4 linked regions of the Rhinolophus ferrumequinum genome follow. The protein of the gene in region 1 purifies or fractionates together with the protein of each later gene. This does not show direct contact. Links are inferred from orthologs where the notes say so. Each region holds a gene or a part of one and is shown in the gene's direction. Other genes may lie near its edges. The genes, in order: CDC27, TTK, CDC26 and CDH1.

Evidence for each region.
Region 2: the proteins of CDC27 (region 1) and TTK purify together in Homo sapiens (affinity purification with western blotting; 3 studies listed by BioGRID). This does not show direct contact. The link is inferred for Rhinolophus ferrumequinum from reciprocal best matches to the Homo sapiens genes CDC27 and TTK.
Region 3: the proteins of CDC27 (region 1) and CDC26 purify together in Homo sapiens (affinity purification with mass spectrometry; 12 studies listed by BioGRID and IntAct, with this or other methods). This does not show direct contact. The link is inferred for Rhinolophus ferrumequinum from reciprocal best matches to the Homo sapiens genes CDC27 and CDC26.
Region 4: the proteins of CDC27 (region 1) and CDH1 purify together in Homo sapiens (affinity purification with western blotting; 4 studies listed by BioGRID and IntAct, with this or other methods). This does not show direct contact. The link is inferred for Rhinolophus ferrumequinum from reciprocal best matches to the Homo sapiens genes CDC27 and CDH1.

Annotation. Positions count from the first base shown.
Region 1 is NC_046304.1:41,231,021-41,238,587, reverse strand, and holds the start of CDC27 (cell division cycle protein 27 homolog), read left to right. Parts: upstream 1-4,301; 5' UTR 4,302-4,440; coding exon 4,441-4,467; intron 4,468-7,567. UniProt on the Homo sapiens protein: Component of the anaphase promoting complex/cyclosome (APC/C), a cell cycle-regulated E3 ubiquitin ligase that controls progression through mitosis and the G1 phase of the cell cycle.
Region 2 is NC_046286.1:39,445,572-39,453,577, forward strand, and holds the start of TTK (dual specificity protein kinase TTK), read left to right. Parts: upstream 1-4,757; 5' UTR 4,758-4,835; intron 4,836-5,095; exon of another isoform or gene 5,096-5,206; intron 5,207-5,988; 5' UTR 5,989-5,990; coding exon 5,991-6,129; intron 6,130-8,006. Other genes in the region: uncharacterized protein LOC117015595, read right to left, coding at 2,504-2,578, 3,952-4,165, 4,384-4,757.
Region 3 is NC_046295.1:65,171,523-65,179,149, reverse strand, and holds the start of CDC26 (anaphase-promoting complex subunit CDC26), read left to right. Parts: upstream 1-4,360; 5' UTR 4,361-4,541; intron 4,542-6,191; exon of another isoform or gene 6,192-6,219; 5' UTR 6,220-6,248; coding exon 6,249-6,301; intron 6,302-6,755; coding exon 6,756-6,906; intron 6,907-7,627. Other genes in the region: PRPF4 (U4/U6 small nuclear ribonucleoprotein Prp4), read right to left, coding at 1-50, 1,350-1,536, 3,259-3,439, 4,181-4,207. UniProt on the Homo sapiens protein: Component of the anaphase promoting complex/cyclosome (APC/C), a cell cycle-regulated E3 ubiquitin ligase that controls progression through mitosis and the G1 phase of the cell cycle.
Region 4 is NC_046298.1:18,074,329-18,081,519, forward strand, and holds the start of CDH1 (cadherin-1), read left to right. Parts: upstream 1-4,021; 5' UTR 4,022-4,143; coding exon 4,144-4,197; intron 4,198-5,076; coding exon 5,077-5,191; intron 5,192-7,191.

The DNA of each region.
Region 1 (7,567 bases):
CTTACAAGACAAGTTAAAGGGTTTGGACTACATCCTCAGAACAATGGGAAATCCTGAGTTATGGCGTAAGGTTTAGGGAGGGGAGTTCTGACACGATCAGACTTATTTTTGGAGGTAGGTAAAACTGGAAGCAGGAAGAGACATGAAGGTCTATTTAGGAGGTAAAGTTAATAGCTCTTTGTGACTACCGTGTTTCCCTGACAATAAGACCTAGCCAGACAATCAGCTCTAATGCATCTTTTGGAACAAAAATTAATATAAGACCCGATCTTATTTTACCATAATATAAGACCGGGTCTTATATAGTATAATATAATATAATATAATGTAATGTAATGTAATGTAATATAATATAATATAATATAATACCAGGTCTTATATTAACTTTTGCTCCAAAAGACGCATTAGAGCTGATTGTCCGGTTAGGTCTTATTTTTGGAGAAATATAGTATATGCTAGGGTTAAAGAAAGAGAGTGGTCCAGGTTTGGACAGTGGAGAAGAGGGTGATGCCTTAAACAGGGATAGGAAATATTTCAAGTTCTATGTGGCATGAGGAGTTTCCCTGAGGACAATGTACCTGTGAGATATTCGGATAGAGACACCCAGTTGACAACTAGGCATTTGGGTCTGGAGTTCTAAGAAGCAGTCTGGCTGGAGATACAGATTTTGGAGTAATTTTAGATGAAAATTATGAGAATGGATGGGTTTGCCTAGGAAGAATGTGTAAGGTGAGATGGCCTAGAACAGAAGCATTCTAATGTTAGAGCGGCTGCCAAGGAAACGGATAAAGAACAGAGCAGTAGAAGGAAAATGAGGAGACTGTGTGATCAGAGATGACAAAGGAAAGGGATAATTTCACCAAGAGGAGCCAACGTGGGGGGCGGAAAGAGCCTCAAGGTCATGTTATATAAGGAGGATAAAAGGCAGCATGCAACAGGGACAAAAGAAGGGGACAGATAAGGAAGACTGAAGGAATTCAGAATTCAGAATTCAGAGGTAAGCTTACTCTGGGCTATATTTCAGTGGTACCTGCATCTTGCCAAAGATACCATGTCTAGCTTCTTGAATAGTTTCCTAAATGCTGGCCTCAAAATCTGATGGAACACAAAACAGACCAAGAGGCAGGCTAAGGAGGAGAGATAATTTACCATGTTTGGGATAATGCTTATTGTAACCAACTCCACTCACCAGTGAAACATATATGGATAATGGATGACAGCAGGATGCCCAAGTGCTTGCTGGATGGTGAGTTTAAGTAGGTCAATCAGGAACAGAGAAAGAAGTAAAAATCCTCTAAAAGATCGCATCAAAGAACAACTTCAAACAATGTGGTCTTGCTGCGCACATAGAAAACTACAACAGATGTGTTAGCCCACTGAACAATAGTCAAAAAAAAGATGCCCTTTTTTTTGGGGGGGGGGCAAAAACCTTTAGGCAAATTCTAAGCTTAAGAGCCAGAGTGCCAAACATCACAGACTGTTTAAATGCTAACTCTAGATACACATATTCACACACATAGCAATATCATCTTTATGGATCCTGTATTTTAAGTTCCTTCATTTAAGTTTATAAGAATTCATTGCACAAGTGTAAGACTTGGGTTGGCAGCACATTCTATGGAAAAAGAGCTGTGTTTGTAAAATGAACACAAGCTTAGCATGAGTGAAGTGTCATGTGACTGCTAAGAAATGCAAATACCACTTGAGTCTATTTTAATAGAAGTGTCCAGATAATAAAGAAGTAGTTTTACTGCATTCTGAATTAGAATAAATCTGGAGAGTTGTGTCAGTTAAATGCATCAGATTTTAAGAATAATGTCTTACCCTTTCCATTTCCACTACCAGATTTTCTCATCTTGTACCTGGTAGATGTACAAAGATGGACTAATTATCAAATGCTCTCATCGCACATGCCTTTTGGAATTTCACTTTGCCATAAATTCTCCCATGAAGAAGTGGAGTCTATTTCTCCTCTAGTTGAATGCAGGCTGGCCCTGTGTCTTTCACCAACAAGAAGTGACGGGGTTTGGACCTAGGTCTTAAGGGGCCCAGGTCTTACCGGCCTAGGTCTTAAGGGGCCCAACAGCTTCTGCTTTCATCCTCTTGGTTGCCAACCACCAAGTCAAGAAGCTAGAGCTAAACTACTGACTGATGAGAAGCCAAGGTTGAAAGAGAGCTGTGGAGAACTGAGGAGCTCAGTCAGCAGCTAAGACCAAGTCCTCAAACATGTGAGTCCTTGCATCTTTCAGCCCCAGTCAGACCAATGATGGTAATATTCTTTACCTGTGCTATCCAGTATGGAGGTCAGCCACGTGTCTATTAAGTCCTTGGAATGTGGCCAGGGCATCTAAAGAACTTCATTTTTAATTTCACTTGAATTTAACTAAACTTTAAAATAGCGAGTAGCTACCGTACTGGACAGTGTAGAAGACTATTGCCATTCAAATTCACCCAGCATAACCCTGTTAAAAGAACAGATCACAGAAAATCACCTTAGCACCTACCCTTTATGGGGCTACAAGTACATAAGCAGTGATTACAGATGGCTGGTGGACATGCCAGTTGCTTTGTCGACTAGTGTTTAAAAAAAACAGTCACACAAAGGAAGAGAGTGACCCATTCTAATCTGATTTCATCTGTATAAAATAAGAACCAGAAAGGGAAATTTCCATACAGTGGAATATACTATGAGTACCACATGTAACCTAGAAATGTTCTAACTAGAAAATTAACCTTCTGGTGGCTCAGATGGTTGGAGTGCCATGCTAACGCTGAGGTCGCCAGTTCGATTCCCACGGGGGCCAGTGAGCTGTGCCCTCTACAGCTAAGATTGTGAACAAAGGCTCTCCCTGGAGCTGGGTAGCCGTGAGCAGCTGGAGGTTGGTGTGGGCTGCCGGGGCTGCAGCGGGCAGGCTCCCGCAGGCTGCTGTGCGGCCGTGGGCTACCGTGTGCTGCCAGGCGCGGCCCGTGGCCAGCGTAAGTGGCCTATAGCCATTGTGAGTGGCCGGCGGCCGGCAAGAGCTGCTGTGAGCTGCCGACTGACGACTGGCAACCGACTGCCTTAGCCGGGGGAAGCACCAGGCTCATAACACCAGCCTGGGCCAGGGAGCTGTGTCCTACCCAACTAGACTGAGAAACAAGGGCTTGAACCTGAGTGGGGGCGGGGAGGTGGAAGAAGGGGGGAAATTAACCTTCAAAAATGATATTTCTCATCTCCTGAAAAACAAAGTTTTACTAGTTCTCTGGTTCACGTATTTTTTGGGGGAAGGGGCATAAAAGTAACTTGAGAGAGCCTACTGCATTAGACAGCCACATACATTAATATATTCATCTTATTTTTTTCAGACTAAGAACATGAAGTTCAGAGAGTTTATAACTTGCCTAAGGTCCTAAAAATACGTAGTAGCGCCAGAGATTAAATTCAAAAGCAAGCCTCTGCCTTTCCAATCCCACACTCTTTCCAATACACCAGAATGCCTCTGCAATCAAGAATAAAAATTTCTGCCTGTCTTTTGAGATTGTCCATGATCTGGTCACGTAATATTTCCAGTTAATGCCTTCACTCTTAACAGACTGATCTCATTTCTGCTTTCCTTCACTTTCCTTTTTTTCCCCTTCTCATTCTAACCGTTCTTCAAATCCCAATTTATCCCGTTTTCCTTCTGTGAAAAGTTCCTCATCTTAATCCCAATTAATTTCCCTCTTCTCTGAATTTTTACATCATTTCTAATGGGCCCCACACAAGGTAGCAGCACTTTTCCCTTAAATAGACTGTAATCTCTTTGAGGACAGGGGCCATACTAAAACTTTGAAGGATGGAAATTTCCTATTTCCCTCTAAGCTATGAAGAGATACTTCTGGAATGGATAAATGACCTGCATTCAATAGGCAAATACTTCATGATTAATTAAACTCAGCCTCAAACTCCCGAGTTTTACCCTTTGCTTAATCGACCGCACACGAATTAATCCAGAAAGCTGAGCGGCGAATCAAGACGGCAGCCGGGCCACGTAACGATCCCCTCCAGCTCCAGCACGACACGCCCAGCCCGCTGGGTGCTGATTGGGCGTGGCCCAACCGAGGGTGGACGATTGGGCGTGGCGTGCGTGAGTAGAGGCGGGGCCGAGAAGAGGAACCTATGCTCTGGGTCAGACTCGGTAGTCTCCGACAATTCTCGACAATTTCCGGCAACGGTCTCCTCCTCCGCCGGTTCGCCTCGGGTTTTTCCGGCCTCCTTCGGGCTTTTCCGTCTGGCTCCCGCGCGGATCTCTTCACTTCGGGTATTTCCGTGTCCCGCTCGGAGGTGCTCGGCAATCGCTCGGCCGCCCCCATCCCCCGGTAACGGTCGCTGGTGAGTTTAAATGAGCCGGGGCTGGCCGGGCCGGAGCCGCTACGGGGGGGGGCCTGAGGCACTGCAGAAAGTGGGTTTGAGCCTCAAGGATGACGGTGCTGCAGGAACCCGTCCAGGTAATGATAACCCCCTTCTCTGAGGCTTGGCTCGCGGCCCCAGTCGGGAAGCCGCGTATGGCTACTCCGCGGCCTGGTGCGGCCTAGGCCCGGCTGCTTCTCCCGCCTCTCCTTATGCCCGGTCCTGCCTGTCTTCTCGTCAGTTCGGAGGCCTTGCCCACAACCTAAGCCGTGTTATCTCTGGGCCTACGTTACTTCTGCCCCTAGTGTGAGCGGCATTCGGCGATAATACCTTCCTTTCCGAGCCGACGTCCGGCTAGCCCTCCTGTCAGTCTAGGGGCCTGGTCCTGGCTGGGGTGAGAGATGAGGGTGGGCGGAGGGTGGCGGGGGAAACTCGCCCCAGGTGCTCTGTTACCTAAAGGATGATTGGGAAGCACATTTGATCAGAGCTTGCGCGGTCTTCATAATGGTGGGGCAAGTTGGTGAGGGGGGTGGTGGTGGTTCGGTTTGGTTTTTGTCTTTCTGTGAGAGGTTGGAGGGATCGGTATTTTTTATACTAATTTCTATTTTGGTAACAGACTGAGTAGCCCACGTTGCTTTTCTCGTTCCGTGAATTTCCCACTGAACAATAATCTGAGAACTCCCAAGGCCTAGTGCTGAGGTGCAAGCACCTATACAAGGGGAGAGGGTGGAAACGGCAAATCGGGGGTTTTTTCCTTGGCCTCTGATGGGGATCAAGAATGTTTCAGTTCACGTTTATAAGGCGTCCAGGAAATGAAAGACCAAGAATGGTTTTTCCGTCTGTCTCACTGCCCTTACCACACCAAGGTATGCTTTGACGCACGCTGCTCTGTTGGCATGGAAGAAGCCCGATTGGATTTGAAGTGTGCGATGCAGTGCCAAGTCATTTCCCCCCTGCCATCTGAAGGAACTGAATCTTTTGTCCCTTGGTGATGGACCAGGTCTGGTCTGGGAGACTTTCGATCCACCATTTGATCTTTGACTTGATTTAAAAAGTTGACCTCTATCAACTACTGTCATTGAGTCATGGACTTTCTTTATTTTGAAGTTATAAAGCAAATCGAGTTTAGAAGTTAATTCATATTACCCTTAATAGGCCTGTGATAGCAAATAGTAAATATTTTAATACATTACCCCTTCGTATTACCTTAATTCTTCTTCACCAGATGAAATACCAATTTCTTCTAGTTGGCTTCTTCTCTAGCCCTTTACATATAGCAGCTATTATTGGTTGAATTAATATAATATAGGATTCTAGTTTAGGAAATTCACCTGTTTGTAAGTTGTACTAGTGCTTCCAAAGCTATTTCTTAACATCCAGATTCCTCTTACTAGTAAAGAGTCCCTTTTAAGATTGTTTTTTTTTTTGAGGCCTAACATGAAATTAGAAGTTGCTATCTGTACCTTAAATGGATAAGTAGATCACTCAGTTGTTTAATTTGTCTCATATTCTTGTAATTTTGCCTTAATAATGGATACATTTGCCTTCTCTTACCCCAAAAGGCTTCTAAAATGATAAGCTAGTTGTATTGCTAGCTTATAACTACTATTTAATAATAATTTCAACTTGTATAAAAATGTGGAGAAGAAAAGAAATATATAAGCTATTCCTACACAGTATTCCTCAGGTTTCCTTTTTTTTTTCCCTTAAACTACTCTTGGCAGTAATACACTTAGGTATTTTTAAGGCTTAAAAGTCAAATTTGTTTTTTTTGGGGTTTTTTTTCACACTACCTTTGGCCCATTAGATTCAGGGATGGTGGTAAGAAGCTTTCGGATATGGCTAGGTGAGAATTTTGGTTGTGACTTATAGTATACAAGTAAGATACCATTCAGGAAGGGATCTGGAGCAGTGGGAGGAACAAGCAACTTTGGCTACAGTGATAAAGATCAACTTTAATCAGGAATAGTGCTGAAAATGGAAAGAATTAGGAGGAAAATAAAAATAGGACAGATAAATAAGGTACTATTTTTTTTGTTAACTGGCGAGTGATTGTATGCATATGTATAGGAATGAGAGTAAGATGGAAAGTTGTTTCCTTTCTTGGCATAACTCAAGGTATTACTGGGCATAGGAAAAAGTTGAGAGAAAAGGTGAGCAACTGTTTTCTGCTTTTTTTTTCTTTAAAATTTTAATGTGGGGTACTCAGTGTGATATACCATGTAAGCCTAAATATAAGCTCCTCCATATTATTTCTCGTAGTAAAAGTGTTATTTGTCTGTGGGGGCGCAAAAAAACCAACTTTTGCCCCACCTTCTGTTTTCTTCTAGCTGGGCTAATTATCAGATTAACATGAGACAGGTTAACAGGAGAAAATGTCCAAATTTTATTACAGATGTGCATGACGGGGTGTCATAAAAATGAGACATGAAGACACATTGGACAATTGAGGTTTATGTGCCATTTTAGACAAAGGTGAAGTGGAGCAGGGGTCTGGGATTTCAAAGGAAAGTAGGCAATTCACAGGTAGACAAGAAAGAGCAAACATGTGGTAAACAAATTCTTGCTGGGCTACCCAGAAACAATGGGTCACAGAAGGAAGCTCAACAAACAGGCTTTGCTAGGCTTCTCACTTTCTTCCACATTTAGTTTATATTGAGGCTAAAAGAAGGTGATGCTCCCCTTCTTTTTCTATCTGAATTCCTTTAGACAGGTAAGGGGGGAGAGTCAAAGGTTCTGAGTCTTTTGTTTCTTAATAACCAGCTTAAAATCATTATGCCAGAAGGCATATTTTGGGTTGGCAAAACTTTGGTTCCCCTCAAATCTTTACAAAAACCTCTCCTATTATGAGACAGAATTCTGTTAATTATTTGTAATATAACTTTGGGAAAGAAACTCACATAAATGAGTTCAATCAGTGCTAATTTGGATGTTTATAAAATTCACCTGATGAAATTGATCTAAAAAAGCAAACACATTTTAATAGATTTATCAATTATTCCTGGGAGTAGGGATTCACAGTTAGAAGTGTTAGATGAAGTTGTAAACAAGCCTTGTGAAAATCACCTTACTAAGCAGTATAGTAAGTGGGTACCATACACCTCATACCGTTTTAGAGATCATTAGATAGTGAAGGTATACTTTTGGCTTGGGATAAGATGTACAGAGACAACAATCTAACATGGATTCAAAGAGTAC
Region 2 (8,006 bases), on another chromosome or scaffold:
ATGTGCAAAATTAATAATCATTATTTGTATATGTTTGCCACACAGATAAAATATGTAGTTTAAAACAAGACCAAGAACAGAGTTCTGAGGCCTTCCACTAGGGGTCAACCTCAGGTTCTCCTCAAACTCCTAAGCAATGTTCTTTGAGAATTAAGGTCTACAGAGTTGCAGAATCATCCCACATTAACAGCACAGAGCTTACATGCTCCTCTCTTTTTCAGAAAAACGATAAGAGAGTCTTTATCACTTTCTTTGCCAGAGTTAAGATATTCTATATTTCCGGCCTTCCGTAATTTTAGAAAAAAATCAAAATGAGAATTTAGTATATTCTATATGGGTTGTTCTTAATGAATCATGCTGGTATCTAGAGATCTCTGCTCCCAATCAATTCTATAAGCTTCTCCAGAATTGAGCTAAAAGTTCACATTATAAAGACCTACAGCTTCCAAGTGCTACATTTTCTAAAAAGAAACATTTCTCCATTTCTGATTTTTTGTCCCTGTTCCTGTTTATCAAGACTTTTCAGAGACTGCCAACAGTTTCTGGGATTATAAAGTCAATTTTTTCAATGTTCTGTTTAGTTTCTCAAGTACATTACACAGCTACGTGAGTTTCCTTCTGATAGCAGAGATTGAAAACATGACTAAAATAAAAAAAAATTCGTGTCAGATAATTTGAAATTTAAATGGCTTTCCTATATAGTTTCACATGACAAGAGTTTCAACAAATTCATTTTTAAGATTGCCAGTTTGAATACTATTCTCCATGGCGGAGGAAAAAAATAGGAATTCTACTTTTTTTTTTTGTCATTTGTTAATATAATCTGTTGCCTGAATAACTAAACAATATCTGATGTCCAAGTAGTGGTCCCAAACTATTACTGCTGCTTTTCTTGTTCAGAACATAATCCAAACTGTTATTGCTGTTTTTCTTCATAATCTATGAAGTGCTTTGTTGTCTGTCCTTGCCATTTCATTTTCTTTTGGGTAAGGCTTGGTCCATTCTGTGCTATGTAGCTTTCCTTAAATTATTCTTTCAGGTTCTCACCATTCTTATAGGTTCACACCATTCCTATATGCACCAAAATTAGGTACACTAATAACATATCCCTGAATAAATCACCAGAAAGCAGTGCATGACTTATTACATGCTGTGAGAACTACATTGATTATTAATTAGAAATTTAACCTCTGTACATGCACAAAGTAAATCCAAGTATGGGAAAAAGTTTCTGAAACTAAAGTTTGGGACTTAGTGAACTCATAACAATGACTTCAATAATTGAATTATAAAGGCAACTGTGTTGACAGAAAATCATCAGATTAGCAAAAAAAGTGACATGATGATCAAGCCAAAGTTACATGGTCCAAGCTTTTATTTATGTAACAAAAATAAAAGTGAAACTTTCCCATCTCAACATAAAATCAAAATCCTTTGGTGAATTGTATTGTTTTATGGAAGGCTTGCCTCTGAAAATAAACACGTTTATTCACTGCCAGATGAAGCTGGTTTTAAACCAAATGAGTAATTGTAATATTATCTTGAGAAGAACAACTTCACTTCCTTATTCTCTTTGTTGGTGGCTCCTCATTGGTCTATTATTGCAATGGCCTTGCTGAGCAGCAGCTAAGGATCAAAATCTATTTGGACAGAAGAATCACAGGCATTGATTCTGCGTCAAGTAGGAGAGCTATGGCCACCCTACAAGTAGAGAACTAAATACTACAGTGAAACTGTTCATCCCAATATGGTATATTGTTACATGTCTCACATGTATACAATCAATATAATACTTACCCAAAAATTGTACCTACTGTTTCTAAACAGCTTGTCATGATATTCTCTGTCAATAAATAGTTGCTGAGTGTGTGTAAGACATAGTACAAAGATTTCTTGAGCATTTACAAGAAGTATAAATGGTTAAAGTTTCCTCCTCAAGAAGTATACAAATATGTTTTATATATTTCTTGGAAATAGGATTCTGAAATACTCTAATAGTCATAAAGGTTAGTATTTGGCTAACATTGATTGAATGCCTACAGTGTAGCAGACACCATTCTAAACACTAAGGATATTTTAATGAACATAGTAGACATAAATTCCTGCACTTATGGAGTTTACATTTTAATAGGGTAGGCGGAGGAGAGTCAAATAAATAAATACAATAAACAGGTCAGATAAACTATAGGATTTCATAGCCCATTGCGGTCCTGTGGACATAAAGTGGAAGAGTCACATATGTAATTTTCAATACCCAAATTAAAAAAGTAAAAAGCAACAGGTAAAATTAAATTTTAATTTATTTTTTTTATTTTGGAGTAATTTTTTATTTACAGAAAAGTTTCAAAGATAGTACAGTTGGCGTATACCTTTCACTCAGTTTCCCTACTGTTAAGATCTTACATTACTGTTGTTCATTTGTTCAAATTAAGAAACCAACACTGGTACATTACTGTTAACTAAACCTCAGCTATTTATTATTTGGATTTCATCAGTTTTTCCATTAATGTCTTCTCTCTGTTCCAGGATTCAATACCACATTGCATTTAGTTGTCATGTCTCCTTGGTCTCCTCTGGTCTGTGACAGGAGATATTAATTTTAATAATATATTTTGTTTAACACAATATATCACAAATATAATTTCAAACTGTAATCAATATTTTTAAAATTACCAATAACATCATTTTACATCATTTTTTCATACTAAGTCTTCAAAATCCAGTGTGGTATATATTTATAATTACAGTATATATCAAACTCAGACATTTTCATAGGAAGTACTTAACTGCATTTACAAAATTTACATTTGAAAAAGTAGATTCACATACCTGGATTGTTCCAAATATACTTAAACGTTTTCCAATAATTGTACTTAGTATTCAGTTTTAATTTTAAATTAACTTTAATTAAGGTTAATTAATTTAAAAATTCAGTTCCTTGGTTGCACTAGCCATACTTCAAGTGTTCAATAGCCATACATGACTAATGGCTACCATATTGAACATTGCAGCTCTAGACTATTGTAAGGACTTTGGGCTTTTATCCCGAGACCAGGAGCTCTGACAGGTTTTGAGCAAAGAAGTGACACGATCTGATTTAAGATTACTTTGCTGTACTGGAGAATAAATTGAGGTGAGGCAAGGTCAGAAGCAAAGGAGACCAGCCAGGAAGCTATGGCAGTAATCCAGGTGAGTGATGAAGGTGCCAGAGACTAGGGTGGTAGCAGTGGAGGTGCCAGTATTCCAGGAATAGCTCATTAGATCTGACACTATTTATGATTAGATGTAGAGTCAGGAATGACACCAAGGTTTTTGGCTTAAAAATAAAACAATGAAAGTTTCCTTTGCAGAGATTTTGTAAGAAGCAGGTTTGAGAGGAAGGGGGAAAAATCAGGCACTCAAGTTGTGGGCATTTTGAGTTTAAGATGCATTTGAGACGTTTAAGTGGAGATGTTAAGTAGGTAATGGGTATATGAGTCTGGAGTTCAGGAGAAAGAACTCAGCTGGAGACATAAATTTGGGAGTCATTAACATATAGATGGTACCTAAATATGTATGACTGAAAGAGATCACCAAAGGAGTGAATGTGCAAAAACGAGTGTAAGGGTGAGGTTATCAGCAGCAATATTTTCAGAAAAATGAGTTTTGAGATCAGGCCCCTAAGAGATCAACAAGAACTGGTGAGATGGTAAATTCCTTCCGACTAAAGCCAGTGTTAGAAGCAACTGTGCAAAGGTGGTGATTAGCCAATCATGATACCGTGTAGCAAATCATTTTGCTCTACTGAAGCAAAAATACATAGCCAGCAGGTACGGACAGGTGCACTAAGTGACAAAGGGCTTTCTTGCTAGCCAAAGCTGGGAACGCGAGGGCTCTGAGAACAACTTTGTATTAAATAAGTGGCAGCTGCAGTTAATTTCCTACACATACACAAAAGAAAACCTGTCCTACCATAGAGCATGTCAGGATGCTGATAAAAGACATCTTGTTGTCCTGGATCACAAAGCCACTTATCAGAGCCCCGCACCCGTGTAGTTTACTCGAGAAGTGACCTTTCCCAGAGGACACCTGAGCCCTTACTTGGGACAAGCTCGGAGGGAGGGGCGCTGATAAGCCGAGTTCAGACATGTCAATCGTGACGGGCATCGGAGTTCTGCGCAGAATTCTGACGAAGGTAAGGACCATGGAATCACTTAAGGGTAGAATGAGGGCACAAATGGGATCTCAAGACAAAGCACTGAGATTTTTGAGCTGGTGGCAGGGCTGAAGGTAGCTCTGTGAACCAGCATTTCTTGCCACATCCTCCCTACGCTCGGCAGTGAGGAGCTTGGAAGACGCAGGAGTGGGGTGGTGGTCGGCGGGAAGGACTAGCTCACAGGGCACCTTTTAGGTCCAGATGCTGAGAGCAGCGTTTCCGCCCCTGTTATCCTCTCAACGGGTGACTCTACCCAGGAATGGCTCCCTCCCCGAAAGAGACTTGCTCTGGTTAAACTGGAAAGTGCAGGAAAGCCGGCCCCTGGCGCCGGGGGAGTGCCAGCGGAGAGCCAGCGAACCCGGACTGAAGCGCTGCGCAGGTGCAGATCGGGAGACGACCCTTCCGGGGCGGGACTCGCTGGTCGCAGAGGGAGGGGCGGGGCTGACGCACACCAACCAATCACAGCAGACGCTTCCACTTGGCCAGCACCGACCAATAGGAGGCCGCGACAGTAACGGCGGGGGAATTCAAACGTGTTGGTGGAGAAGGGTTCGGATTCCATTTTTTCTTCTCAACTCGGCTTTCTGGCGGTGATTTCGGCCTCGCAAGTGCACGGGGAACGGCGGCAGCTCGCGGGACGGTAAGTGGTGGGGGCGGGTCGGGGGCGGCTCAGAGCCGGGTAGACGACGTAGGGCGCGGCTAAACGAGCTGCAGGGGGAGGGGAGCTCTCGCCGCCTCCGCCAACCCACCGGGTGTAGCCCGAGATTTTGTTGAGGATCCAGGAAGCAAGAGGTGGGTGTAGACCTCGCTGGGAAGAGGGTCTGGCGGGGCACCTGGGGAGAGTTTGGGGACACGAGATTGTCTCCCTAAAGGTACTTCTTCTGTTGTCTGGTGTTTTAGAACAGAGAGAGGAGATGGTGGCTGTGTTCTGACAGTTACCTTTCGATCCTGACTTGAAGAGGTGATATCTAGATGCCCAGTTTATCGCCCCTTTTCATTGTTAAAGTCAAGGTCAGTGGCGGCATTGATACCAGCGACACTGGGTTACTGGGTTGATGTTTGAGAATTACAAAAATGAGATTGACAGGAAGACTGCAGACTCTTTGTTGACCAAACATTACCACGATGCAGATGAGCAAGTGCTTGGTATTATATGAATACAGTAGTCTTGGTATTAGAGTGATTAAGTTAGCAAATCATTAATTCTGCCACATATGCGCAAGAACAAGCCTGCTGTGATCCCACTTATCAATAAAGGGCTGTGGTGGTGTATATATTCTGCTTTGAAAACCTTTGCATTGTGCAGGTTTACTCACATAAAGCAGGTGAATAAAGCAATGGTTATTCACATTGCCAAAAGGATTCTTTATGTCTAAATGTCACTAACAAAATCCAAACAAACATTCCATCACATTTTTTTTTAAATGGCAGAATTTGCAGATGACCCAGAGAAAATAAATGAAAAAGAGTGAAAGGGAGGTGTTCAGTGTATAGAAGAAAAATGAAAAGCTTTAAAGGGGGACAGCAATTTCTGTATCATACAATGACACAGTTCTATTGGGACGAAAACACATACTTAGCCTATTGGAAAGTTTGATGGACAATTTTCAAATATGTGCAGTTGTTTTTGTGCACATAGCTTCACAAATACTACCTTAATAATATTTGCATTAAGATGTGTTCATATAACTAATGCTTTATCCTTCTGGATTCTAAAAGGCTAGTTGCAAGTTTTTTTTCTTTAATGGTAGTAAAAATAAGAATTATGACCAGTTCAGTTATTTTTTTCTTAGAAATGGAGGCCGAGGATTTGGGTGGCAGAGAATTGACAATTGATTCCATAATCAACAAAGTGAGAGATTTTAAAAATAAATTTAAAAATGAAGACCTTACTGATGAGCTAAGCTTGAATAAAATCTCTGCTGATACCACAGGTGAGTTCCTTTTTTTTTTTTTTTGAGTGCCCTCTAAGGTTAAAGAATGAAATGTTAACCACTGGGTGTTTGCGTGATATAATTTTCTCAGTAATTGATGCTTACCAATTAGAGTACTGTACACACTTTTGTATGGAAATATTCCCACAATTTTCTGCTTTCTGAAAAAGGAAACATTTATTACAGTGTACTCAGAGGTAGTTTTCTGAACTCTTCCATTATTATCAGCTGTTATTTCTGCTAATATGCCTGCCATCAATAGTTGTGCCATTTTTTTCCATTCCTTTCTTGCAGCAAACTAAGAAATCCTCAACAATCTTAAAATTATATATAAATTCAAAGTCAAACATTTTGTTTTTTATTTGGAGAGTGTTCCTATTAGTCTCTTGGCCATTTTTTCCTGTTCTGGCTCCCTCTGTTCCAACCACAGCGATGTCCCTGCTATCTCCTCTTTATGCCAGACTACCTCCTAGCCTAATGTCTTTTCTCTTGCCCTCTGCTGTGAACACGGCTCCCCCAGATATCTGCCCATTCTTACCTCCTTAAGGTTTTTGTTCAAATGTCATCTCAGTGAGGGCTTCCCTCACTCACCTATTTAGCAATAGCAACTTGCTGGGGTGGGAGTGTGCCCCCTCTCTTCCTTTCCTGTATTGTTTTTCTCCACAGCACTAATCACCTTATATCTGATATACTCATGTGTTTATTCCCTGTGTCCTCTGCTAAAAGGTGAGCTCCACGAGAGCATAGTTTTTATCTGTTTTGTTATATCTACACAGCTGATAATGGTACCTGGCATATGGTAGGCACTTAAATATTTATTGAATGATGAATGAATGAAAATGCTCAAGTTTTAATACCTGGCTTTATGAAAACTAGCTCAGAAGCCTAAATATTTACTATATTTCAGATTGTTATGGTTATTTGAAAGATGACCTTTGGATAAGTTTGTCATATCTGTATAAGCATTAAATGGATGAGGAATTGAAAATAAATGGAAGAACCTGTAATCTAGTCATAATGGCAGATCATATTCACTTAAAACATCCCACAAACTAATTATTTTTTGGTTAAGCACATTCTTGAGTATCACCATGCTTTGTTATGTGTATTTAACGCTTAAAAAAGTTTGTATACTAAGGTAGATGGATCCTTATTTGAAATCCTTAGCTCACTCAAAGCTGTAAATACCTAACATATATTGATAATTAGGATTATTAGATTGACTGTATTAGATGAGTTAATTATATCTAAGTATATTAGATTAAGTATTGAGGAAGATTCAAAGATGCTTAAAATCATGGTTTCTAAATGAGAAGCATTTAAGAATCCACTGTGCTACATTATAAGGTATTTGACAACAAAGGAATACTAACACAATAAAGACAATACTTTAAGTGTTGAGTAGAGGGAGAAAGGAGTACTCAGAGGCATGAGGAATAGATCTGTAAAGACTTTTTTAGACACTTTGCAGATTAATTTGTTAGGAAAGCAATGGGAGGTAAAACTGGAAAATGAAGTTAAGATCAGACCAGATTAAATGTAAAATAGAAAAGCAAAATTATGAATGTGCTATGTTTTAGTAGAAAGTAGAAATGGTAATTTTATTTACAAAAGTAAGGATTTAGTCCTTACCGAAGGTAGCTGAAACCAATGGAAGGAGTGATAGTTTCTCTGAGAAGGAAGAATTTGATAATGTTTAGTAATGACTAAAATACAGTATATAGGAGACCGACGTTAATTCAAGTTGTTTTTTAAAAACACTTAACACTAAAGAAAGTAAAAAATAAATCACAATATGAAAATTACAGGGAAACTTGGGTAACTTGGAGGGAAAAGAAAATGACCATATCAGTTGCTTATCTTTTGTAAACTGGTTT
Region 3 (7,627 bases), on another chromosome or scaffold:
TGGTCTTTTTTAAGGCATCAGTACCGACCACTGAGAGGATATTTCTTAACCTGTAACAAAAAAGATCGAAATTTAAACAGAGTTGAGATTTTGAAAAGTACATCTAAGAAGGGAGACAAGCTTCCCCTACTCTCACCATTCAAACTGCAAGCAACCTTCTTTAAGAGTCAAGATGTCATGCCTACACTTCCAGTGTGATTTCTTTCACTCAATCTTTTTTTATTTGAAGATTCCTTAAATTGAACTATACACAATTACCCTATTCAATGTAGCGCTAACTAGCCAAAACATTGCTATCCCTCGGTCTGTGGAGACAGCCAACCTTCACTCAATGCCACATGTGCTGGATACTGACTCAGGTGCTTAACATACAACAATGACTAAGAAAACAGTTTTTGATTTCAAGTAGCAGAGTTCTAGAGAGCAGGGTTGGGGGGTGGGGAATGGGGACAGAAAGTAACAGAGAACCATAATACATTATACTAAGTATTATGACAGTGGTTAAGTATAGGGTACTAAGGGGGAACATAAAAGGAGTACCTAGCCTAGGTTTGGAGGGAGGTTCAGGGAAGGCTTCATAGAGGTGTTACCTAACCTGAGTAATCATCTGGTCGGGGCAACAGGCCAAGAATGGGAGAGGACTGTTAAGGCAGAGGGTTCAAAATACGATGTAAAGGTCTGGAGGTAAGAAAAGTGTGTTGAGCTTGGAATCACAAATAGTTCAGTGTGGCTGAAGTATGGAGTACAAGAGAAGTGGTACTTTTATTCCCTGTAATTTAAACAGGCCAAGCATTGTTGGTTCTATTTAATGGACATGAGAGAATGCTAAAGGTTTTGAAGCGATTAAACACGCAGACTATGCAAACCAAGAAAACAAAAATGATAATGGGGAGAGTAGGACAGTGGCTAGAAAGACAGGAAGAGGGCCTCATCACTGCATATGACTAGCCTGTCACCAAGAGCTTTGCAACGTTAAAAGCACAAGCGGAGCATTATCTGAGGACAATGCCCCTTTTCAGTAATATCCAAAAACCACTTGTCATTATGTTTTATGTCATTGACAAGGAATGCATTTGTTGTCTAAATCTTCAAAGTTCAACTACAAAATTACACTTTGGGAAGGGGAGAGGAAACATGTTAACACCCTCTTTGCAGTTTATAAAGGAAAATTAGTAGTGGAGTAAAAATTGGCCTAAGACTCAGATTGATATAAACACAACTTAAAAGATATTCTGTTAACAATAGCTGAGACATTCTATTAAAAGTTTTTGCTACAAATAACAACATAAATTTGGAACTAGAACCCTGTGATCAAAAAAAAGAAGAGAGTAGATGTTTAGAAAGGGTACCTTTCTCTTCTTTCAGCAGGACCCTCTCCAAAAAGTGTGATGGGCTCTCCCAAGGCTCTAAGGCAAGCCTTGACCTCTGAGTCGTCCGTGGAAACATTGATTTGCCGGGCTCGCTTCCTTCTCTCAAACTCAGCTAACACTTCCGCCTGTCGCTCACTGATGTGCTCTTCAATTTCAAACACTTCTCCTATAAAGAGAACAGGCAACATCAGCATAATCACCAGATCTTCTTCAAATAAAAAAATTAAAAAAAAGAAATAATTTCTTACAATTGGAGTCTGCGTATGCCCTTAGTGAAAGTTAACTGTCTAATCTATTATACACTTAGTTTCTCAGTTTATTAACTTACGCCACACACAAAAAACTAAATGACACAGCTTTAAAAGGCAGCAAAATGGTTCAAGCCATCTTGTTTCATCTGGCAATCTTAAACCTATATATACCTATATAAACAAACACACAGCTTAGATGAGATAAGAAAATAAGGAGTATGGGGCATCATTAGCAAATGAGTTAACTAGGCTTTCTATGCAAAAGATGAAACAGAAACATAATTTTAACAATTGACAAAGCTATTCTCTAAAACAGTTCCCTTATGGGGACACTTAGAAATGAATCTAGTAAGCTGCAAATAATTACCATGTAAATGATATTCCTTGATTGACTAGAAGACTTTTTGGATTCTCTAGCAGCCAGTTAAAAAACTCACACGAAATACAAGCATTTGTATGAAAAATGGTAAGTATAGTGGTGATGCAGTTATGCTTAAAAAAGCATAAAAGGTTAAAAAAAGCCATTAAAGTGCTTGTGTATAGAAAAAAAAAAGTGTCGAAGGATCAATGAGAAATTTGACAGAAGCCCTTTCTGCGGAGAAGTCTTTTCATTTTATACCCTTCTGTACTGTTCGAATTTCTTATTACAAACATGTATAATTTTATTTTAAAAATATAGTGGATGATAGTTACTGACTTGGAAAGATATCATTAATAGTACAGAATGAAAAATGTAGGTTACAAAACAATCTGTCTATCATGGCTTCCTTTATGGAAAACAATTATGTATTTTTATAGCTTTATTAAATTCTTGGAAAGATACAGACCCAAGTAATAAGGATGAAAGGTTTTACTACTTCACACATTTCTACACTGATTAGTTTTCAAAATAAAAATAACTAATATTTTTTTAATTTAAAAAATATGTTTCATTTTGGGAGAAAAATAATTGGGAAACTAAAAACAGAATATTATGAACCACAGTAGTTCCAAACCAGTGCCAGAGCTGTGCTAGATCTCCAGAAGATAAATGGAATCAATTTGAGTCCAAATATAGTTGACTACTGAACGTAGCCAGGTGGGGTTGGATAGTGGGGGGAACCCCTCGTGCAGTTGAAAATCCGCATAGAACTTTTGACTTCCCACAAATCTTAACTACTAATAGCCTACTGTTGACTGGAAGCCTTACCGATAACATAAACAGTCGATTAACACATATTTTGTATGTTATATGTACTTGTACTGTATTCTCGTAATAGTCTAGAGAAGGAAAATGTTATTAAGAAAATCACAAGAGAAAATACATTTACAGTATTTATTGAAAAAAAAAAACACTGCATATAAGTGGACCTGGCACAGTTCAAACCTGTGTTGTTCAAGGGTCAGCTATACACACTGAATAAACTCTTGGCAAAATCACTAACAATTCATGGAAGGAAAAACTCTTTAAAAGGTGTTAAGCAAAAGGCTCTCTGGACGATGCTAAGCAGAGTAGGCAAAGTATGGCCATATACAGATGTAAGTTTAAAAACTGAAAATTTTGACACGTTATTAATAGTGATATTTGTCCAGGAAGATATTCATTGCAGAAAATCTGAGCACCAAAGATAAAGATGGATTCACAATTTGCATCTTACCAGAGGTTATGTTGATATTTCCTGCTTCAATTCCTGCTTTAAGTCCTTCTTTTCCCAAAATCCCAGACTCTCCTTTGGCCAGACGTTCCCTCTCCTTCTCTTCCAAACTTCCATAATAGATGTGCGGTTTTTTCACCAGAGGCGCGACTAGGTCATCAGGTGCCTTAGTTTTGGCTGCCTGCTAAATCATAAACCTGGATTAACCTAAGGCTCAATCTTGGCAATTTGCTAGGTTTCCCCAAAGGATGAAGCTCATCTTGACTTTAATTCTATTTCCTCCCCAAAGGAAAGGACAAGGAGGGCACCAGTTAAGATGTGTCTTCACTGATGGGGATTGGTGTAGGGGTGTTCGGTGTCTCAGACAGAAAGAGGTTGATAAAATTCCTGAATTTCTCTTGGTGATTTTTCTGTCAAAGGTTTGCTTTGGAATTTAATTCAATTCAATCGGTTGGAAGTGCAATTTCTTGTTGGGTTTTATGAAACTTCCAGGGTTACTGCTCATCACAAGGGAACTATCAAGGATAACTGAAAAAACCAACGCGGTGTGAAGGGGAGCAGGTTACCAAGTTACTGGCCTCTACATTTCAAACGTTTTCAGACGAGATGCACTAGACACCGGTAGGTAGTTTGGAGGCCTCACTTCAGTTAAGAGGTCTGACACAGACATAAATCTTGGCCAGGACACTACTTCCTTGAGCTCCGTTTCTGGACCAGTAGGAAGAGGTGTGTACCATTCGCGTCAGTACGAGACGTGCAATTGAGCTTAAGCACATGAAAGCGCTCCATCAGGAAAACGCTGCTCGGCTCTCTAAGACCGAGTCTCGCAGCCTTCCTCCTCGGCCCCTCATCGCCTTATCCATCCCATTCCGCAGGGACCCCCACCCGCGCCGCGCTCCCCGCTAGGGTGAGCTCAGATCTGTACCGTGGAGGTAGCTCGTGAGGAAGACATGCTGGGCTCCGGAGCCGCGAAGTCCCAGCGAAAGCTGCAATCGACGTTTCAGACAATCCAACGCGCGCCCAGCAAAGCGGAACTGTGTCACCCACCGGAAGTGGGCCGAGTGGACTCAACGTCCGGGGAGGCGTGGAGCATGTTGGGAATCGTAGTAGGAAAGACTGTGGCCGTGTCGAGAGGTGTGACTCGTATAGCCTCCGAGAAACGCACGCGAAGGTCGAGGTCTTGCGGGGAGAGAGGCTCAGAGCAGTCTGGGAAGTGTAGTCCAGTTGGCATAGATTCGTGGTGGGCACTGAGGTTCCGCGAAGGGGCTGAACAGGCTTGTAAAGAGGTAGGTGCATCGAGTCGCGCGGCTCCGGGCTGAACTCGGGAGCGAATGGAGGGCTTCCGGGGCCTGCTGTCCCTCCCTCCCGGCCCTACGAGAGGCTTTACGTCGTCCTGGAGCTGGGACTATGTTGCTATGGAAACCTTTGCGGTAGACCTGTGAGCGCTACCTTGGAGCTGCGGCGGGAGAGCTGTTTTCCTTCTCCGCTGTAGGGAGGTTCTCTCCCGGGGGCCCCCTCTGAGCTGGGTGAATTTGGGCAGCAGCTAGAGATTAAGCTCGAAGAGCCCTCTAGCGCCAAAGTTAAATAAGGACCGGGCGGAGGAGCCACGGCCTGATTTTGTTGTCTTCAGCCTGGTCTTCGTATCAGATTTAGAGTAAGATGATGGATGTGAGCCGTTATGCACGCAAACAACTTTGCCACGGCCCTGTGGTCCGCTGGGTGCTGGAGCATCAGAAACGAACGAGACGAGGTTTTTGCCCTCATGTCGGGGGGTGGAGATGCTCAAAATACTGGTGATTCCCAGAGCTGGACAGAGGTGTTTCCTGCCTCTCCACAAGAACAGTTAAAATAATAATAATGGCTGTTATTTATTGAGCATTTACTGAATGCCAAATTACATTCCAGGAACTTACTTCAATAACAGATACGGAAACTAAGATCTTGTGAAAGATGAAGCTAATTGTTTAAAATAAACAGATTATTATTAGAACCTCTGCCCTTTGCCTCCAGAGCAAGTACCTTTACCCTATATCGCTACCTTGTGACAAGCTTTTCAGTTTGCTGAAAAGATAAGACAGTGCAAAGTAGTGTTTTTCTTTTAAACATCTCCGCCTCCCCTGAACTTTGGCTTCCAGTATCATTTATCTACATTGGAATCAAAATAGTATCTGATTTAGTATAAAGCGATTTGAAATGTAATGTGCTAGTGTTTTGGGTTGATAATACCACCTGTAGGTATCCCAAGCTTCATGGGAGGGAGAGGGAAACATTTTCTTTTTATATTTCAGCCCCTAGCTACATCCTAGATACATGTAATAATAATTGATATCTATAAATAAAGGAGCTTTCACTTACATCATTTTCATTTATTAACCAAACCGAGCAGCTTTGGCTTCACCTGTAAAACGGGTAATTTTGCCAGCCTCACAGGGTTTCTGTGTTAAAATAAAAGTGTAAAGAATGGGAATGGAAAAGCATACCACAGTGCTCAAGGAAAGTTCACTTCACTTTATTTGGATCTCTGGTTTATTCAACAAAACGTTTACTGCCTAGTTATTATAGATACACTCTACTGGATTTGGTGGAGAATATAAAGATGTCATCAACAGATTTTAAACTCAGTGCGGGAGTTATATTTTTTTCCTCCAAAAAACGTTTTTTGTTAGCGTAAGCATGACCTTGCGTTTTCAGACTGGTGTGGACTCTTGAGCCCCTTTTTATCTTTGTTCTCTCTGCCTGGTATGCCCTTAATCCCCTTTCCCTACCTGCCCTTCCCAAGCCGACCAAGACATCATCTCCTCCAGGAAATCCTCCATGTCTGCCCCCACACTCAGCCCAGAATGAATTGGGCCTGTGTGATGCCATTGCATTTCCTGCACCAGAGTTCTTAGTACACTGTATGCAGGTTTCTGTTTACGTGTTTGTTTTCCCCACAGACTGTGACTGTGCGTTTTAACTCTGCAGCTGGAGCACAAGAAGTGTTTGTTTAATGAATGCCCCATACATGTAGGACCTATTTTGACCCTGAAGATAACCCTGTGAATTGGTGAGTTAGAGGGAGTTTTCCCTAGATTTAGTAAACTGATTTTAGCATTCAGGAGTGATCACAAATCTCTTACAATTCTCGTGTAGAGTTGATCAAATTTAATGGTTTGTATGCTCTCCCACTAATAGTACTACATTAAGATGTGATATTTTAGTGTTATTCTCTTAGCTAGAATATGTCTTTGAATGTGACTGGAGCATGAGATTAAAGTGATTGTTGCCTAGAATTCTTTTATAGGCAGCTTGCTATTTAAATACTTAAAATTCTTGAAGAAACAGTTTTTTGGAATTACAGAGTTTTGGATCTCCATCATGTAATAAAAATATAATATTCAGACACGTAAAGACTTAGAAGTCTATGTGTGAATCTAAATGAGTCTTTTATTTGCCATTCATTTTAGCATGCGTGCTTACAAATTGATCTGATATTTGTAGCTGAGATTTATCCCCTTCAGGTTTTCCTCCTCTCTGCCATTTTTAACAGCTAATAGTTCACTGGGTCTGGCTCTTAGTGTTGATTTCAGCATGCTGCGACGAAAACCAACCCGCCTGGAGCTGAAGCTTGATGATATTGAGGAGTTTGAAAACATTCGAAAGGACCTAGAGGTAGGAGTACAACTTTCAAATACTTAGGAATATTTAAAACAATAACTCTTTTGAACTCCAGATTCTTATACCAACAGATTACTTGAAATCTCTATTTAGATTCTTTACAGGCATTTCCAATTTAATGTATTAGTTTCCTGTGGCTGCTGTAACAAATTACCACAAACTTGGTGGTTTAAGACAACAGAAACTTATTCTTTCAGTTCTGTAGGCCAGAAATCTGAAATCAGTATCACTGGACCAAAATCAAGGTGTCAGCAGGACCACGCCCCCTCCAGAGGCTCTAGAGGAGAATCTGTTCCTTGACTCTTCCAGCTTCTGTTGGCCCCCGGATCTCAAACCTCTGCCTCCATGATCACACTGCCTTCTTCTCTTGTGTCTGTGAAATCTCTCTCTGCCCTCTTATCAGGACACATCTGAGGGCATTTAGGGTCCACTCAGATAATTCAGGATCTCAAGATCCTTAATCACATCTGCAAAGACCCTTTTCCCATATTAGACAACATTTACAGATTTCTAGGATTAGGATCTGATAGCTTCGGGGGTCATCATTCAGCCTCCGACATTTAACATGTTAAAACAAAATCTCTTGATTTCTTCCTCAAGCCAATTTCACCTGAGTGTTCCCCATTTCAGTATCTATTCAGTCACTCAAGCCAGAAACACCTAGGAATCATTCTTGAGTTCTCCCTTTCTCTCAACTTTTATATACAAAATGTCT
Region 4 (7,191 bases), on another chromosome or scaffold:
ACAATTCCTTGCTTCCTGATATGATGCTTTGGAAAGTAATGAGCTATCAAGTCACGAAAAGACGTGGCGGAAACTTAAATGCATACTACTAAGTGAAAAGTCTACATACCTTATGATTCCAACGCTATGGCATTCTGGAAAAGGCAAAAGTATGGCCACAGTAAAAAGATCAGAGGTTTACGTGAGTCGGGGGGGCGGGAGGGATGAACAGGCAGGTGGAGCAGAGAGGATTTTTAGGGTAGTGAAGAGACTCTGTTGGCACTGTAATGGTGGATACATGTCATACGTTTGTCCAAATCTATAGAATGTACAACATCAAGAATGAATCGTAATGTAAACTATGCACTTTGGGTGATTATGATGTGTCAATATAGGTTCATCAATTCTAACAAATGTACCTCTCTGAAGGGGGGAGGCTATGTATGTGTGGGGCAAGGGGTACATAGGAAATCTCTGTACCTTCCTCTCCAATTTTCTGTGAACCTAGCACAGCTCTTCAAAAAATAGGATTAATTTTTTAAAAATGCAGGGGTGAAACGATGAAACAAGATTTGGTACAATTACAAAGTTTACAAATTATAAAAATATGTAAATTACAAAAAAATAACTGTTGGAGCTAGATGATAGATACATGGTGTTTCATTACACTACACATGATATACACTTGACTGTTTTCTTTACTTAGTGTTTGAAATAAAACAGTTTTTTTGCAGACGGGAGCGGCTGAGCCATAAAGGGCGGCACCCCTATCAGTTGCCATCATTTTGTCAGAGGGCAGAAGCAGAATATCCAGTTCCCTCCCCTGCCTGTTGGCAGGCAGCCCAGCCCAGCAGAGGTGTGAGGAGCCCCCAGGAACAGGTAGAATGGATTCTCCTCTCCCAACACTGCAGTGAGCCTGATCTGGCTACAACCCCTAACAACTCCAATTTCCCTAGGATTCCTCCCAGCAGGGCTGGGGGGTTGGGTTCCTCTCAGCAGAGCCTGGGGCAGGGGTGCCCCACCCAGTCAGGGTACTATTATTACCGCCTTTTGCCAGGAGATGAAAGGGACCAGGGAATTAATCATTTAATCCCTGGCTGACCAGTTGCCGGGACATCCAGGAAGTGAACGTCCATCAGAGACACAGCCTGCAATAAAGAAACCTGGAGTTTGTCATCCCAAGGGTGGATGCCCGGTTAGCACCAGTGGTGGGCTCTGTCATCTACCTGGAGGGGCAACTGGCAAGGACTCTGGTGAACATTTCTTTCTCCTGTTGATGCCTGAAATTCTACCATTAACATTAGACGGGCCCTCAAAGAGATCTCAACTCGAAGGTTTTGATTTTTCTTAACTCCAGTTGAGACGCTAATGAAGGCATTGGACCTCAGCACCTGCACTGACAAGATTGCATATAATCTCAGGGGTTCCACGACCCCCCCACCCCCACCCTCAGTCCATCCACCGACACCAGGTTAAGAACCCTGGGCGAAGTTTACTAGCTCCAGAGTTTTCATTCTTTGAAAGAAGCACACCTCAGAACCCTCTTTAAAATGCAGATGACCCTGGGAGGGTTGAAATGACTAACCAGTCAGTGTGAAAGTTTTCTCAGCAGAGGCCAGAGGTAGCCTAAGAGACTTTGATGGTGGGGGGTGGGGAATGGAGAGCCTGGGGGTGGGGAGGCTTCAGGAGGGCTCACAATTTTGCTGAGAACTGGTAAAGGAAAGGAATGTACTGAGCCAAGAGTGCTAACAGCTAACTTTAGGGCACTTATAAGAACCTTGTGAATTAAATGCTATCAACATCCCCGTTTTATGGATGAGGAAACAGACTTGAAGAGGTCAAGGGACATGCTCCCCAGCTAGTGGCAGAACAGGAATTTGAATCCTCCATCAGCCTGAGACCCAACGCCATCAGCCGCAGAGCTCAACATCAGCAGCACAGGCTCATCTTCGCCTGCTCATTTGATCCTCAGAATTGGCATTTCCTTTTTTTGATGGAAGAGGAAACTGAGGCCCACAGTCACACAATGCCGCACCTCCACAGGGCACCTCTGTGTGTCCCCTCCTCACCTGGACAGCTGAAAGAGGGCAGCCCTTCACGGCCAAATCCCTGGAGCTTAGAGAAGGACTTGCCGAGAAGTCTGAAGAGAACGTCTCTCCCAACCTGTCCTCACTGCCCCTAATTGTTTTCTAAAATCCTTTTTATTGAATTATCAGAGTGTAATGGAAGAGTCGATGAGAGTCGCTGCGGAGTTACAAGGCTAGGGCTTGCTGGACGGAGGAAAGCAAAGCCCTAAAGGCTCCCTGGGATGAGCGATGGTATAAAATATGTATTTTTACATAACTGGGAGAAAAAAAATAAACGGACAAGGCTGCCCCATGGGGGAAACGCCTCTTTCTGTATTTCCATTATCTTGTTTAATGCACAGTCCAGCAGGAGCCTCAGTGGGAAAGGAAATACTGGAGCCTTTTCCCTTTGAGCCTCCTGGTGGGTTAAGAGGCAGAGAAAGACAAGATGCAGAAATCTAAATGGTCTGGGCGTGTGCTCAGAAACCCATTAAAACTGAAGGGACAGGTTAGGGGGGAGGGGCAGAGCTGACCCGAAATAGTGTCTTGGTTTGAGACACCGCCTCTCCTCTGGGGTTGAGAAAGTAGCTTCAGTGGACTCAGATTTACCTTTAGCTCTGGATGGAATATTCTAAACATGACCTTTCCCCATGAGGAAGGGGAAAGGAGGTAGTCGTTTCCAAAGAACGACCTCCACATTAAACATCTATTGAGCAGTTAGTTGCTACTAGATGCCAAGTACTCCGTTTAGTGACTTTCTTGCATCAGCTCCTCTCAACACATTTGTACTGATGATAACATGGACTTGCCCAAGGTCACAGCTAGTGAGCAGCTGACTCCACACACTGTTTTGCAGTTCCGACCATGCTTGCGGAGTGAAGGGAAAGATGGTATCCTTGTCAGGGTAGGCAAAACACATAGATGCGGCTGGCCCCTGGCAGTCAGACAGGGATGATGTCCGACCTAACATTTGCATACCTTTTTTTTTTTGTTTTGGATCCTAAAATTATTTTACTGGGGATAGAATTCTCTAGAAAAGGAAGTGGTGGCTATGGTGTGGTAAGAGCCCCAGTCTGGGGATCAGGAGATCTTGGGTTCTAGTCTTGGCTTTGACGTTGACTTGCTATGGGACATTGATAGTTATTTGCAAATAATACGTTTGAATGATCTCTAAAGGGTCTCTGGCAGGTCACCATTTACAGGACAGATTGAAAACTACAGCTGCAGCTTGAAGACTATCCAGGGCCACATGAGGTGAAGCTAATAGAAGAAATGGCCCTGGAATCAGGAGGTTGGGTTCCTGCCCTCCAGCATTTCCTACTGGCCTCAAATTCTTTATGCCTCAGTTGTCTGTCTATCAAATGGGTTTAATAACAAAGCTCTTGGGTTGTTTGGAGGCGAGATTAAATGAGATGGCCAATGTCAAATGCTTAGCACAGAGCGTGGTACAGTAACTTGCAATGCCCAGCATCTATTGTTACTATCATCATTCACATCTGTACAGAGCTTTTATGGTGAGGAAATATTGGTCTTTTAATTGTATGTCAACGTCACAACAATTTAGGGAGGCATTTGTGATTAATCTCATTTGGAAGATGGAGAAACAGGCTTAGAAAGGTGGGTGCTGCCCAATGAACTGATTTGCAGACTCACAAACCGGTGGAGAGCTGCAGTTAAAAAGAACTAGATAAAGGATAAAGCCCAGGTGCTAGTGTGCACCCACCGCGAGGCCGGGACGCGAACCTGGTGGTAATCGAAATCCTGGAGCCCCTGCACGCAACCCTGATTCTAACAACCGCTGCGCCTGCGGGTTGCCGGGTCGCGAGGCAGCGGGGCGGGATCGGGGGCGGGCCGTTCATTCCCTGCCTGCAGAGGAAGCTGGGACCGAGCCGCATCGTTCATTGGCTGCAGCCGGCAGGTGCATCCTCAGCCAATCAGCGGGGCCGGGGGCGGGGCCTTCGAGGCTCACCTGGCGGCTGAGGCGCTGCCCCCCTCACTGGCGTCCAGAGCCGCAAAGCACCTGTGTGTTCGCGGAACTTCTGCCAGACCAGCCCCGTCCAGCTCCGCCGGACCCGACCCGACCCGCGCTCGGCCCGCCATGGGCCCTCCGTGTCGCTGCCTGTCCGCGCTCCTGCTGCTGCTACTGCTGCAGGTACGTCGTGTCCCTCTGGCTTTGCGGGGGACGCCTTCCGGCCCCACCTTCCGCGACCCGGCCCCTAAGTTCCTTCCTCTCTTGTCCTCCCTTCCTCTCTCCTGTCGTCCGCGCTCCCTTTTCTTCCAAGAAAGTTTGGGTCCAAAGAGCCTGAGCGGCCTGGAAGCTGCGTGGCGCTCTGGACTCAGCGGAGATGGGAGTGGGAGCGGGAGCGGGTGAGGAACTAGCGCGGTTTGCTCAGTGCCCCGAGGGGACCTGAGGTGGGGGCGCGCCTCGCTGCAGGCTCTAGGGACTCCGGGTTGGCCGCGGTATGGGCAGTCGGTGGCGCAGGGTGGCGGTCGGGATGGGGAAAAGGGGAGCACGGGTGCAAGTCCAGGGAGAGCCAGAAGTAGTGGGGACGATCCCTGAAGTAAGGAAAGGGGAATAGAAATAAAGGTAACTACCAGGTAAAGAAAAGGTAGTAAATAGGTATGGGGGCGCCCTCGGGATAAGAAAGTGGGGTCAAAAGGTGTTGGAGCGCCTTCGGTATGAGGAACTAGATTTAGGAGTGGGAACGTTCCCGGTGTAAGGAAAGGGGAATTGGGAAGAATAAAGATAGCTCCAGTGAAACGGAAAAGGAGACGGGAAGGAAATGGGGTGCTAGGTCGAAAGGAGGTGACCCAGCAGGCTCCTCTCCCCGGCGTTCCTGGGGGCTTGGCTGCCGCAGGTCTCAGATTGAGTTTGGCGTGGCTGCCTGCCGACGGGGTGGAGGGGAGTGGAGGTGGGTCCCTCCCACAATCTCGACGCCGGGAGCTAGGGAGGAGCGGTGTTGTCGGTTTCGGTGTGGGCTGGGAGGGACCCCCCAGGTCACCCCGGTTCCATACCTTTCCCCTACCCCAGGTCTCATCATGGTTCTGCCAGGAGCCAGAGCCCTGCCGTCCTGGCTTTGGCGCTGAAAGTTACACGTTCACGGTGCCCCGGCGGCACTTGGAGAGAGGCCGACTCTTGGGCAGAGGTGAGGGCGCGCCGCCGGGGTCCCGGAGCCGGGTGGTGGGAGGGAGTGGGAAGGATCCGAGAAATTGTGCTCCCATTCCCCTGGGCTGGATTGGGCAAGCCCCTTCTTCCGTGGTTCAAATGACACCTTTAGAATTTACACACATGTAGGAATCTAAACTTTATCATGATTGAGCACTGTGGTTGAAGGGGCTATCCTGGTGCGGTTAATTATGTTGGGGGGGGGAGGATGCTTATTAGAGCCTTCAGTGTGTTTCCTAGTGTCCTGACCACGTTAGAGGTTGTCGTTTCAGACTGCACAAACCTAATATGTGGGAAGGGCAGGAGGGAAGTGGTAATTCTTATTTAACAGATGAGCAAAGGAAGGCTCAGAGGGTGGAGTCCACTTGCTCAGGGTCAGTTTCGTGGGAATTTGCACTAGCATCTCTCCCAGGCCCCATTCTGCAACAACTCTGGGATGACTGAGGAGCCCTCTCAGTTATCAGGCTCTGGCTTTTGCTCATAGAGATGACAACATTTTGATACAGGTACTATTTCCCAAAGGAATAATAGTTTTTAAAAAAAACCTGGTAGCTCTGACTCAGGGAATGAAAACGTAACACAAATGTACTTCTGGGCCTTATCGCTGTGATAATCAGAATTCTAGAGTTTGCTTTGTTTTACTTCACTGTGGCCCAGGAGTGAGGGCAAGGGCAGGTTGGTTTCTTTTCTGGTTTCACTGATTCCCAGGTGCTTATTTCCTACCAAACCACTTTCTCCTCCCTTTTGATTTTAGTTGATTGAGCGAGTTATCATAACAATAAAGGAAACACTTGCGAAACAAACAAATAAAAAAATCACCCACTATTTCCCTGAGGGAATTCACTGTGTATTCTTCCAGTCTTTGGCCACGTGAAAAATCTGTTCCAATCACACTATTGTCTGAAAAATGTTTTCCAACTCTGGAAGTTCTAACAGTGGGCGGCTTTTTTTTTTTTTTTTTTAAAAACAGAAACTGAACCTTGATTGATTAAACGTTTGCTTTTCTGAGGCCTGTGTTGTGTGGAGCTTTCTGTTGGGTCAGAAAGGAAGTGTTGTCTGCCTGATTTTGCAGTGGGTCCACCGTTCTTTGGCCTCTCTCTTGATGTTCTGCCCGGCCCTGTGCTGGGCACTTGGGAATGAACTGACATACAGGGACATTCCAGTCCTGCCCTCGGTATTGCATGTTCTGGCAGGTTGCTGAGAATGTTCTAGGACTCACTTCAAGGGCATAGTGGGACATGGGCAGTTAGGTATTTGGGATGTTTTGAATGGGTATCAGTGGGCTGTGAAGATTGGCTTCTGGGAGGATAAAAAGTTGACCCACCTTTGAAGAGCAGGTCAGGGGTTAGAAATGGGAGTGTCCCCACACAAGTGCTGGTCACTCTTGTTTTCCTGCGCCAAGGCATTTGGTAGCACCAAGGGAGAGTTAGTCCGGTTTTTATCCCCCACACCCAAGCTTTTACATCTGACCAATAATCGTATTACCTATTAATAATATAATTATTACCATTATTCGCTTTTGAACTGGACGCTGGGGCAAGTGCGTCACATATTTTACCTTATTTAATCTTCCCAAGAACCTTATAAGGGTGGGCACCATTGTTATTTCTATTTTGCAGATGAGGAAACTGAAGCATAAAGCAATTTAGTAAGTTGCTCAGGGAACCACAGCTGGTCTTTCTCCTGCTTTCTCCCCTCCTCAGTAATCTCAAAAAAAAAAAAAAAAAAAAAAGAGGCTGCCTGGGGAATTGGTGTCCATTGTGAAATAGATGTCTTCCTCCCTGTATGTCTGGAAGAGCAGAGGTGTCGACAGGGCAGGACCCCAAGGAGGAGGTGGTGGTGATGGAGATGGGTCAGGCCAGGTGGGAGGTGGGGGGGGGCCTGCAACTGGTGGTCTTGGTTGGAGACGCGGTCTCCAGAAACTGCTTGTGTGACCGGTTCCCGTTCCCTTTATGTCCACAGACCCACACCCACTCAGTG